Linked DNA regions of Schizosaccharomyces pombe. The protein of the gene in region 2 interacts with the protein of the main gene of each other region in a biochemical or structural test. Each region holds a gene or a part of one and is shown on either strand. Other genes may lie near its edges. The genes, in order: mts4, rhp23 and ubi4.

Region 1 (5,496 bases), 130 kb from region 2:
TTCAGATTTTAATATTAAAAGGTTTCCGTTCAACTAATTCTTTTGAAATTACCATGAATTTTTTCCTTTTGCTGATGGATTTCAAGGATAATGATTTGGTTGGCGTTGGTTATTTGAGGATACTATCCTGCTTGTTGGTGTCATTACCAGCGATGGTATATACATACGAGCATTCAGATCCTATTACTTTTGATTTAAGTGTTTTCTGTCATAAATTAGCTACTCTTGCTTCACAATTTAACGATGATGCATTGATTGAGCTTCTTGACACATATCTCAAACGTAAATTCAGGTCAATTAAGGATTTTTTAAAACATACGGTTTCATACCTATACTCCTATTATTTTGAAGATTACGAGCTAGAAATTGTTAGTACTCTTACGATGTTTCTATCAAATAATTTGACTTGGTTTAGAAAGTCTACGTTAGATGTGTTAAAAGAACTCTTTCCATTAATTGATTTCCAAAAACCTATATATTCCGAACATGGATTAGGTATTGTTTCACCGCTTCTTCGACTCTTACCTACTGGTTATGCAATGGAAGCGTTGTCTTTGCTAACCGACTCAGTGCTTCATGTATCTGCTCCCACAGATATGCAAACCTTAAAGTTATTAATGGTTGACCCTAAATTAAAAAATTCAGATGATCGTCTGGCTGGATTTTTTGAAATACCTGACGAGGATGGATGGTATGAACCAAACTCTGAATATGCAGCTGCTATAACTAAAAGCAACGTACATGCCGTATTTTATAGCTGTTCCACTACCGAGGCTTCTGTGAGTACGCCAGAGGTTAGATTTCATGCTGATGAAGTATCCAATTATCCGCGACACGTTCCTACTGACAGTCATGGTTCGCTTGACGAAAATTCACTAGGAGAGCTAGTTACAACTCTTCATAGCCTCGATGTCTTCTTCGCTGAAGATAGGGATGAAGAGTTAATTCAGCCTGATGTCGCCGTTGATCCAAAATTAGATATTACATCGGAAGATTATGACGATCGGATAGCTACGATTCTTTCAGGTAGCCTTAGACGGCAGAAACAAGGTCTTATGGCTTATGAAACAGAATCCTTCAGAGATTATTCACCGAACGAAGAAATTGATGCATCAGCAAAATTGCCGATGGACATGCCGCCGGTGAGAGTAAGAAAGTCGTCTTTTATCTCTAAATTAAAACCTCATTACTTTATGGATGCTGAATCTTATTATCCTTCTTTAAAGGCACTTGGTAATTCGGCGGAACATCGTTTATCTTTGGACGAAATACGAGGTGCAGCAGAATTGAAACAAAATAAAAATTGGAATTCCATGTTAGATCAATCTGTTTCTATGATTAATGAAGATTCAGTGGAAGACCATGAAACTCATGAAAATTATTATCATTTACGTACAATGTTTCAAGGAAGTGAAAGCAATGAATCTTTTACTGATACAACTCGATCCCGCGGTTGGCATTGAATTTGCCTATACTGGTTTAGTATACTTATACAAGCTTTTATGGTGTTCATGTGTGTAAGATGGAAAATTAGTCGGCAACGTTTATGGATGTACTATATAAAACTATTCGTTTGTTTTCATTATTTTATCATTTGCATTTTTTTGTTAATTTAAACTCGAAAATTCTTTGACCATTACAGCCTTTAATTTTAGAATTCAAAATCTTAGAGCGTGTCATGTTATTAAAAATCAAGCTATAACTATGGTAATTAGGTGTAGTGATATAAATCGGTTTCATATGTCCGTATTTAAACAAATGAAAACATAAAGAGTCAATCAATAACGAGTTATTTTACAACAATTCTTATAAGAAAAGAGGCATGAGATAATAATGTCAAGCATCGTGTAATAATGGTAATACATTGACGAACTTAAATAATAGATTATTTTTTCATTTGTACTGATCCATAAAGAAAGCATAGCGTGTTGTTAAATCTAATTAACGTGATAAATAATCAAATACGTAAACAATCGGTATACTGGTTCTGACTAGGGTGAGAGTAGTTTCAACGACAACACATTACTACTCAGTTTCAGAAAATCTTAGGAATCTAGAAAATGAGTTCTAAAGACATTAGTTCGAAGTCCCCGAGTGGTAATGATGCATTAAATGACAAAAAAGGGACAAAGACTTCAGAAACTAATGACAGAAACTCAACGAACAATACCAAAGAAAGGGATGAATTAGAGGATTTAGTAAGTTAAAGCCCTATTATTTTTCAAAATGAAAACTAACCAAATAGTCTGAAGAAGATTTACAATTAAAAAATGATTTGGAATTATTAGTTCAAGCTGTTCAAGATGCCACCCCTGAGTTGGTGGGTTCCAGTCTCACTCAGCTTAAAGAAATAATTCGTACTTCTACCTCCTCTATGACGGCCGTTCCAAAGCCTTTGAAGTTTCTTAGACCACATTATTTTACTCTCGTTAAAATCTATGATTCCTGGCCGCAAAGCCCTCAGAAGACTCAACTTGCTGATATCCTTTCAGTATTAGGAATGTCCTATAGTAATACAAGCAAACATGAATCATTAAAATATCGTCTTCAGGGCGTTACCACTGATCCTTCTTTATGGGGTCATGAGTATGTTCGCCATTTGGCTTCCGAAATAGAAGAAGAGTTTGCCAGTCGCCAGGAAGAGGAAGCGCCAACCGACGATCTTATGGAACTTGCATTGACCATTGTTCCATTCTTCCTTACTCATAATGCTGAGGCTGATGCTATTGATTTATTACAAGAATTGGGTGCTATTGAAAAAGTTGTACCCTTCGTAGAACTTGATAATGCTTCTCGCGTTTGTCTTTATATTACCAGTTGCGTTAATCTTTTGCCATTTCCTGAAGATGTCGCCATGTTAAGAACAGCGCATGCTATTTATCGGAAGTTTGACCAGCTTACACAAGCACTTAACGTTGCTATCCGCCTTGATGATATGTCTTTGATAAAAGAAGACTGTGAAGCTGCTACGGATCCCTTGTTGAAAAAGCAAATGTCTTACATGCTTGCTCGTCAGCAAATACCTATGGATATGGGAGACGAGGAGTTAAACGATGCTTTAAATAACACTCATTTATCTGATCACTTTCATTATCTAGGAAAGGAGTTGAACCTTATGGATCCTAAAGTTCCGGAAGATATCTTTAAAACACATTTAGAAGTGGCTAGGACTGGATTGGGTGCATCAGGAGTGTATTCCGCCAAACAAAATTTAGCTAACACTTTTGTCAATGCCCTTGTCAATGCCGGATACAGTAACGACAGATTAATTTTGGTCGATGACGAAAAAACGTCTTGGATTTATAAAAATAAAGAATCTGGTTTAATAAGTGCTACAGCTTCTATTGGCCTATTACAATTATGGAATGTTGACATGGGATTGTCTTTGTTGGATAAGTATTTATACTCTTCTGAGGAGAATACCAAGGCTGGTGCATTGTTGGGAATTGGTGTTACAAATGTTGCAGTAAGAAATGAAGCTGATCCAGCTATGGCAATTCTTTCTGAATACCTTGAAACTGGCTCCGTAAAGCTTCGTGCATCAGCGATTTTAGGTTTAGGACTTGCATACAGTGGAGCTAATCGCGAAGATTTACTCGACATGTTATCTCCAATTGTTACGGATACCGATTGCCCTATGCAATTATCCTGCTTAGCCGCATTATCTTTAGGTCTTATTTTTGTTGGTACTTGCAACGGCGATGTAGCTAGCACAATTTTACAAACTCTAATGGAGCGTGAAGAGTCTGCCCAAAATGATCAATGGGGCCGTTTTATGGCTCTTGGCCTTGCCCTTCTTTTTAATGGTAAACAAGACCTTGCGGATGCTACAGTCGAAACACTGAAAGCTATTGAGGGTAAAATTGCACGACAAGCTGAAATTTTGGTGGATATTTGCTCGTATGCTGGAACTGGCAACGTTCTTCACATCCAAAAATTGCTTCATATCTGTAGTGAACCTCCCAGTGATGATGCTAAGGAGAGTGAGACTACTATCCAGACATTTGCAGCACTTGGTGTTGCTACTATAGCTATGGGTGAAGATATTGGAGCAGAAATGGTTTTGAGACATTTCGATCACATGATGCATTATGGCGAACCCTCTATTCGAAAAGCTATACCACTTGCATTAGGATTGCTTTCCGCTTCCAATCCTCAAATGCGTATATTTGACACGCTTTCACGCTATAGTCACGATAATGATTTGGATGTTGCTTACAACGCAATCTTTGCAATGGGTCTTGTTGGTGCTGGTACTAGTAATGCGCGTTTGGCTCAATTACTCCGCCAACTAGCCAGTTATTATCACAAAGAATCCAACGCTCTATTCATGGTTCGTATCGCTCAAGGTTTACTTTACTTAGGAAAAGGAACAATGACGCTTAACCCTTATCATACAGAACGGCAGATTCTTGGTCAAACTGCTTTTGCTGGTCTTATGACTGTTGTATTAGCTATGCTAGATGCAAATACCTTTGTCCTTGATACCTCGCATTGGTTGCTTTATGCTATTACGTTAGCAATACGACCCCGAATGCTCATTACCCTTGGTGAGGACGGTCAATATTTACCAGTAAGCGTTCGAGTTGGTCAAGCAGTAGATGTGGTCGGTCAAGCTGGTCGTCCCAAGGTCATTACGGGTTGGGTCACACATACTACACCAGTTTTGTTGCATCACAATGAGCGAGCTGAACTAGCGACGGAAGCATATACACCTTTGACTTCGTTGGAAGGTATTGTTATTTTAAAAAAAAATACGGAGGACATTGAAATGACCGCTTAAATGACTTGAAGTTAAATGACTACAATTTTTATGTACTAATGCTTGATTTCCAGTTCTTTGCTATTAATAAAACAAACTGGATTGTTGAAATTCAGCGCCCGATACATTTATTTTTCTATTTCGATTATGTTAAATTCGTATTTTTTAGATTAGAAATGTTCTAGTATTGTTCTAAATTGAAGTAGCGGAAAGTATATATACATGATTGCAAATTTGTAATTAGGATTATAATTTCTGTTTCTTTTTTTTTGTATTTGTCGCGTTACCAAAAGGTAATAGAACGTCCACTGCAGAAACGTCTTGTTGGATAAAAATTGCCCGAACTAAGGAGCTACCATTTCTTAGTAAAAAAAATTTAGACCTGCGTTGGAGCTTAATGCAATTATCAAAGAATGAATTTTAATCATCTTCTGATAATCCGACAAAGGAGTTGACTGCTTTGCGACGCATCCCTTATGTCACGTTTCTACTACTGTTTCAATACCTAACCATTACATTAAAGGTAAAACTGCACATTAGATACTTCGCATTTAGGGAATAACGGTGAATAGCTTTATTTAATTTCAAATATTATCTTGAATTGTTATTATGTTTCATCATATGCAGTCCCAAAGTCTGCTCATCGTTAATTCATTTCCACAGGTAAGTTGTGCATTCATTTCGTTATGTGAAAAAATGGAATGACGCTCGTATTTGAATTGATAGAAATGTCA
Region 2 (3,741 bases):
TTTTCAACAACGTGTCGAGGATGTATCTTAAAATTAATAATTGTCCCATACTTTAGTTTTTACTCACCTCTCTAAACCTACTTCTAAAATGTTGAATAATTTTATAATGGCAACATGACCATATAATATCTGGACGTTCAAAAGTATTTGTTTGAATACTTTTTAGACGATTTAACAGTTTCTTCTCAACTTCAATTTCAATTGCTATAATTTTCTCATATAAATCATGCTTAAAACCTCCTTGAGCTGCTTCACACAGCGCTTTGACGAGCTTTCCCTGCTCTTCACAAATTTCATTACTTGAAAGTTGTTGCGACATTAATTATAATATCGTCACATTTTAAGAAAAATATAAAAAATTATCAAAAACGTATTTCTGCAGCGTTGAGCGTGGAAATTAGACCACTTAAGTCACTTGACTTCTTCCTACTTGATATCTTATGCAAAAACCCTAAGCGTAATGACAATTCAGTATTAGAGAAAGAAAAATATGGTTCTATCAAATAAAATAGTAGGGAAAAAAAATATATATATGTATATATATAATATTTACATGTACGACAAATGATTGAAAACAACTTATGTGCTGTGCTCGGAGCAACCCTGTACTCAACAATTACAAAAATATCATTGTTTTGTTTAATATTCCGTATCCTTAACTAAATGCTAGCAATAAAGAGCTGAATTAGTTGCCATTTAGGCGTTTTTCAAGCGAAAAGCAATAATTTATAAGGTGCGCGCTTTAAGGTTCATCCTCAGATTCATGTCCATGCTCGAAAAGGTAATTAGCAGCAAGCTACAATTGTTAGTTGATAATTCAATAAATCAAAAAAAAAAAAAAAACACACCTCTTCATTTTTATCACAAGCTAAATAAGCCTGAATTACAATGTTTCTGTCGAAGCCAAGTTGACATAACTAAAAGCTTGTTAGATAGTTAAAACAAAAAAATAGAAATAACATACTCTATCAATACTCTCAGATTCTTCTTGAGTAATTTGAATCTGAATTCCACCAGAAGGTAAGGCAGACTCGCCTTCGGCACCCTCCGCCAATAATTGCAAAAATGCTTCAGGATTTTGCGTAATAGCTTGAGCCAATGCAGGATCTCCCTGCCCAATTTGTTGCAATATAGTTTCCAACATCTGTGGATTTTGTTGAACAATTTGTCTTAGCTGTTGAAATTGAGGAATGCTACGAAGGAAGCCTAGAGGGTCATCACCAACGGTATTAGAAGGTTGTTCTTGATTTTCATTTTCTGATAAAGCAGCTTGTTCAAAAAGATTCGCTGGCTGGCCAGTGGAAGTAGGAGCAAGGGCTTCGCTTTGCTGTTGCTGAGCAGCAAGGGCTGCAGCACTCTCTTCTCTCTGTCGATTGAGAATGTCTTCGGGAATACCAGTTAATAAGTATTCCACTGCCCGATCAGGGTTGTTAAAAGCGGCACGCATGGCTCTTTCAACTTCGCTGCGTTCGTATCCCATTTCTACCATATTTTCGACAGCAACATTTCGTTGAGCACCAACTGCCAATGTGTTGGCGTCTATTGGTGCTTCACTAGTGGCAGTAGTATCTGGGTTTGAAGGGGCAGCAGCAGCAACAGTTTGTGTAGTAGAGGTAGATTCCGCCACGGTAGAAGAAGGAGCTTCAACTTTCTTTTCAGGTACGGAAGCCGGAGGATTGGGGGCAGGACTGGCAGCTGATTTCGGAGTAGAGGTGGAAGTTTTGGGTCGTGAAACCATGCATACAATGAAATCCTGTTCTTTTATATTGTATTCGCCAACAGTTTTGTCATCAGCAAGGATTCGACCTATAAATTAGTATTTTACATATTAAAATTATGTTATATACCTGAGTAAATTAACTTTTGACGTTCGACTTCATAATTCTGTTGCGTTTGAATTTTTTCTTTTAATTCTGAAATCTGTTTACGTTAGAAAAATAATATGCCACAATTATCATACTTTGGTATCTGCAGAAACATCAGAAATAACAAATTTCTGCTGCTGTAGATTTTTGAATGTCAAATTCATTTTCAAAGCAAATTTGGCGTAGTGGGTAAATGTATAGTAATGAAAACCTCTTTGAAAAAACGTTGCATCAGAGAATAATTGTCAAGGTAGCAAACAAACACCATACACAAGTAACATTATTTGGTATCATCGCATTGTTTATCATAAAATGTGAATGAAAAATCTAAAAAGCAAAACAGTTTGGTTTATTTGAACCTAAAATTTAATGTAAGAAAATATTTCATTTGTTTGAAAGTGTTGTGAGTGAAACATTTACCTCGTTTCCAAGTCCATTAGTACTCAATACAGTGTATTAGTTTATTCTTTATTCTTTAATTTACTATATATATATATATTTTTCTGTTGGATTATTCATTCTCATTTTCTATTTATTTACAGAACGATCGCTAATAAATTTATATATATTAATTATGATTTGTTTATTTAAGTTAGCAATGACCGTTACAATAGCAGATTTTTATTTACAAGTTTGACTTTTGAATTATGTTCCGATAGTTTTTCGCTCCTCCGTGGGCAACTAACTAGTAAACAAATGCTACAATAAGGTTGTTTAACTCATGAATATAGAAGTATATGATACGTAGAGTTGTTTATTAATCAGTATCCATATATATATATTTTTTATAGAATTTTCAACTAATAATTGGGATACGATACATATGTTAAACTAATATGAATAGCGTAGACACTTTGCTTAAACGAGATATATACATTTGTTTATTTCATTGATTTTTTTTTTAGCTATTTGGACAGCTACATCAGAATTTGAAAGCAGCGCCTTTGGTTTATACAATCCATTACCTTTGTCAGAGAAAGTATAAGGAAAGCGGAGAGAAAAAAGTCAACGTATATGTAAACTTCCGGATGCTTTCTAATTTTACATATTCTTCCAAATAAAACCCCAAATACTATCCCAAACTATGATAGCCGCTAAACACATAAATATATTTCATTAAAGACTCTCATACGAAAAATGCTGTAAACATATCATTAAAATATGCTAAGCTGCAATAACGAGTCAGGCCCAACATCTCTTTGGTAGACTTCACGAAGATCCACAGTCCAACAACGAAGCTTTACCAATTTAATTTAATCTCCGTTTGCATTATTAAAATATGTCTAAAGGTCCAGGAGATTTTAAGAAGTCTTGGAATGGGTTTGCTGCTCAAACGCCACAAAATACTCCATCTTCAGATGTACATCTTAGTAAGGCCGCATTAGAAAAAGCTAGACAAACCTTGCAATCACAACTGGAGGACAAATCAGCACATGATGAAGTTAGCGGGTTATTGCGCAACAATCCGGCCATGTTATCAATGATTGAGGGACGCCTTAGCTCGTTGGTTGGAAAGTCGTCGGGATATATAGAGAGCCTTGCGCCAGCAGTCCAAAATCGTATTACAGCATTGAAAGGCCTTCAAAAAGATTGTGATGCAATTCAATATGAATTTCGTCAAAAAATGTTAGATCTGGAAACAAAATACGAGAAAAAATATCAACCTATTTTCTCTAGAAGAGCCGAAATTATCAAGGGTGTTTCTGAACCAGTGGACGACGAATTAGATCACGAGGAAGAAATATTTCAAAATAATCTTCCAGATCCTAAGGGAATTCCCGAATTTTGGCTGACTTGTCTTCATAATGTTTTCTTGGTTGGCGAAATGATAACACCAGAAGATGAAAATGTCTTGCGATCACTCAGCGACATTCGT
Region 3 (3,467 bases), 1.9 Mb from region 2:
ACAACTAGGTTATTGCATAAGTAACGTCCCGGTGAATTGTTGACATTGTACGATTGTGATAACTGGGGCTGACTTAGCACATTAGCAATTAGAAAGGTAGTAAGAGATCCTCGTCTACTTATATTTTCGTATATCTTAGTAAAAACACGAAAGGATTCTACCAAGGATCAAATATACATAGCCGAATTGCTGTCCAAAAAATGGCAAGAATGTATACTTTTATTAAGTACCGGCTTTACTATTTTTAATTTACATAACTTGATAGTAGAGTTTTCAAAAATCCAAGTAACCTTAGAACCATAATCAGGAGAATTAATTATTTTAATGATCTTATTGTAAGTAACCCACCGTTTGTACGGAAACACTTATGTAAATACTAGGGATGGGTTGATACTACTTGTACAATTGTAACCTGGAACAGCTCAAAGTAGATGAGTATTCTAATATTTCAGGTTGGCGGTTAACTTATTGATTAGCAAAATATATTATACTCCGTGTGCTACATAAGAAATTAGTAGAATTCCATATGAATAAGAAATCTGCGTTTTAAAACCTAACATCTATATAAATTATTCATTAAAAAAGCATTAAACTATGCTAATTATCGCTAAGAAGCATGAGCGCAGCTTACTCCAAATTCCCAGTCACAAACCTGACCCACATCAAAAAAAAGTATAAACATCAAAATTTACAAAGAGCACATATATCGTAGACCATGGTATCTTTCGGATTATGCTTCTAATGATGATAAACAATACTTTAAGGATGTAAAACGATTTTTAATAATCGTTCGTATTGTCGACTTTTTTTTTATTTTCGTCTTTTAAATCGCACATGATTTTATAGTCTTGTCATTATTTTCTCATTCAACCACAAAGGAAAGCACATTTATGAGCAAATTTCATTCAAATATTGAAATTGGAAAAGATAATGTTGTTTAATTGTTCTTCAAATTGTGGATATCTATTTGAACGGCCTAGGACTAGAAAAATGTTAATTCCTCCTTTGTAGCGACACATCTACACTGAAATGGACAGTAACTCTGCTGATAGAAGTTAGTCGTTATCTTTCCTATTCGTACCAAGCATCTTATCTTTTAAGACATGTTTACTTTTTATTCGTTCGTTTTAAAGTACAACAATATGCTTATTTGACATGGATTTATCAACAGCTACCCAACTACCTATGCACTAGAAATATGTCTCCCAAAGTGTCTGTGCGTAAACAGATATTTATCCTATTTCATTTTGTACTGTTGCATCGTTTCCTCTCGTACTAGTCGTTTTGCAAAGCCACGTTAATGATCGATATGTTTGAATTGCAGACACCATTTCACATTGCGATAAGGGGGATTCCTGTATTTTTTTGGTCACTGACTAATTTTGACACCGAGGTGACATCATATCGTCTAGGAATCTTTGTTGCGTACACAGTAGACAACATGGCATACGAACGAATCGATGCAATGTATATTTATAAACACAACAAAAATTTGAGTGCATATGCTTCAATTTCTATACATAAATGTATTTAGAAAAAACTATCGTATTGGAGATTGTATTTAAATTTTGATTTTATGAATGAGTGAAAAATGAGGAGCAGTGGCGACGTCTATATAAAGGTGGCTTCCCCCCTTCATTACTTTGCATTTGTACACACACAATCTCTACCATGCAGATTTTCGTCAAGACATTAACTGGAAAGACTATTACATTGGAAGTTGAATCTTCCGATACCATTGACAATGTAAAGAGCAAGATTCAGGATAAGGAAGGCATTCCTCCTGATCAACAACGTCTTATTTTTGCTGGTAAGCAACTTGAAGATGGACGTACTCTTTCAGATTACAACATTCAAAAGGAGTCTACTCTTCACCTTGTTCTTCGTCTTCGTGGCGGTATGCAAATTTTTGTCAAAACCTTGACTGGTAAAACCATTACATTGGAAGTTGAGTCTTCTGACACCATTGATAACGTAAAGAGCAAGATTCAGGATAAGGAAGGCATTCCTCCTGATCAACAACGTCTTATTTTTGCTGGTAAGCAACTTGAAGATGGACGTACTCTTTCAGATTACAACATTCAAAAGGAGTCTACTCTACATCTTGTTCTTCGTCTTCGTGGCGGTATGCAAATTTTTGTCAAAACCTTGACTGGTAAAACCATTACATTGGAAGTTGAGTCTTCTGACACCATTGATAACGTAAAGAGCAAGATTCAGGATAAGGAAGGCATTCCTCCTGATCAACAACGTCTTATTTTTGCTGGTAAGCAACTTGAAGACGGACGTACTCTTTCAGATTACAACATTCAAAAGGAGTCTACTCTTCACCTTGTTCTTCGTCTTCGTGGCGGTATGCAAATTTTTGTCAAAACCTTGACTGGTAAAACCATTACATTGGAAGTTGAGTCTTCTGACACCATTGATAACGTAAAGAGCAAGATTCAGGATAAGGAAGGCATTCCTCCTGATCAACAACGTCTTATTTTTGCTGGTAAGCAACTTGAAGACGGACGTACTCTTTCAGATTACAACATTCAAAAGGAGTCTACTCTACATCTTGTTCTTCGTCTTCGTGGCGGTATGCAAATTTTTGTCAAAACCTTGACTGGTAAAACCATTACATTGGAAGTTGAGTCTTCTGACACCATTGATAACGTAAAGAGCAAGATTCAGGATAAGGAAGGCATTCCTCCTGATCAACAACGTCTTATTTTTGCTGGTAAGCAACTTGAAGATGGACGTACTCTTTCAGATTACAACATTCAAAAGGAGTCTACTCTTCACCTTGTTCTTCGTCTTCGTGGCGGTCTTTTTTAATCATCCTTTGTAATTGACTAGTTCAACTTTAACGTTTTTTCAATTGGCTGATTTAGTTATCCATAACTATACAATGCATTATAGCAATATACTATAGCTTTTTGCTTTATTTATGTTGGTATAATATTATTGACTTAATTTAGTATATTCTTAATGTGCGATCCATGTTTGTATTTATAGGCAATAGTGAGACCTGATTTCACCGATGTAAAGTGTTATAGCGTTTGATTAGGGAAGAGGTTAAATTTCGTTGAGTAGTAGCTAATTTCAGCGTTAAACTGTTGTCGTCCCTTACGTAGATAATCAAAGCTGGGCGAAGCGCCAAGCTATATTCTTCTTATTAATTATACCGAACAAGCGTTACTTAATTTATTTATTTCGACGCTTTTCTAAAGGGAATATCTTAATTATTCTATATCTCCTTTTTCCATGTCACTGAAGACTGCTCTTTCTAACTCATGGCTTACAATAAATCTCTAAAGTCTTTAGTATTTATCCTTTTGGCTTCTCAGATCGTATTTGTATTATTCCTTTGCTACGGAAAAAGTTCTAGAGAACTTGGAGTGAAATGGAATTCAGATATTCGATCTTGGATGACCAGTTACGTTGGGTTTAATGGCGAGACTGCGGCCATATCAGAAGAACAG

What was found.
Region 1: the proteins of rhp23 (region 2) and mts4 form a complex in vitro, tested with the Schizosaccharomyces pombe proteins (one study listed by BioGRID).
Region 3: the proteins of rhp23 (region 2) and ubi4 form a complex in vitro, tested with the Schizosaccharomyces pombe proteins (3 studies listed by BioGRID).

What each region holds. Positions count from the first base shown.
Region 1 is NC_003423.3:2,850,617-2,856,112, reverse strand, and holds mts4 (19S proteasome regulatory subunit Rpn1/Mts4), read left to right. Parts: upstream 1-2,010; 5' UTR 2,011-2,060; coding exon 2,061-2,198; exon of another isoform or gene 2,199-2,245; coding exon 2,246-4,783; 3' UTR 4,784-4,992; downstream 4,993-5,496. Other genes in the region: morphogenesis protein Mor2, read left to right, coding at 1-1,463. UniProt on the Schizosaccharomyces pombe protein: Acts as a regulatory subunit of the 26 proteasome which is involved in the ATP-dependent degradation of ubiquitinated proteins.
Region 2 is NC_003423.3:2,985,252-2,988,992, reverse strand, and holds rhp23 (UV excision repair protein rhp23), read right to left. Parts: upstream 2,065-3,741; 5' UTR 2,030-2,064; coding exon 1,961-2,029; intron 1,925-1,960; exon of another isoform or gene 1,921-1,924; coding exon 1,848-1,920; exon of another isoform or gene 1,807-1,847; coding exon 965-1,806; exon of another isoform or gene 918-964; coding exon 849-917; exon of another isoform or gene 797-848; coding exon 743-796; 3' UTR 504-742; downstream 1-503. Other genes in the region: telomerase regulator Est1, read right to left, coding at 1-26, 68-319; nucleosome assembly protein Nap2, read left to right, coding at 3,145-3,741. UniProt on the Schizosaccharomyces pombe protein: Involved in postreplication repair of UV-damaged DNA. Postreplication repair functions in gap-filling of a daughter strand on replication of damaged DNA.
Region 3 is NC_003423.3:1,043,771-1,047,237, reverse strand, and holds ubi4 (protein modifier, ubiquitin), read left to right. Parts: upstream 1-1,645; 5' UTR 1,646-1,671; coding exon 1,672-2,820; 3' UTR 2,821-2,967; downstream 2,968-3,467. Other genes in the region: ecm14 (carboxypeptidase), read left to right, coding at 3,279-3,467.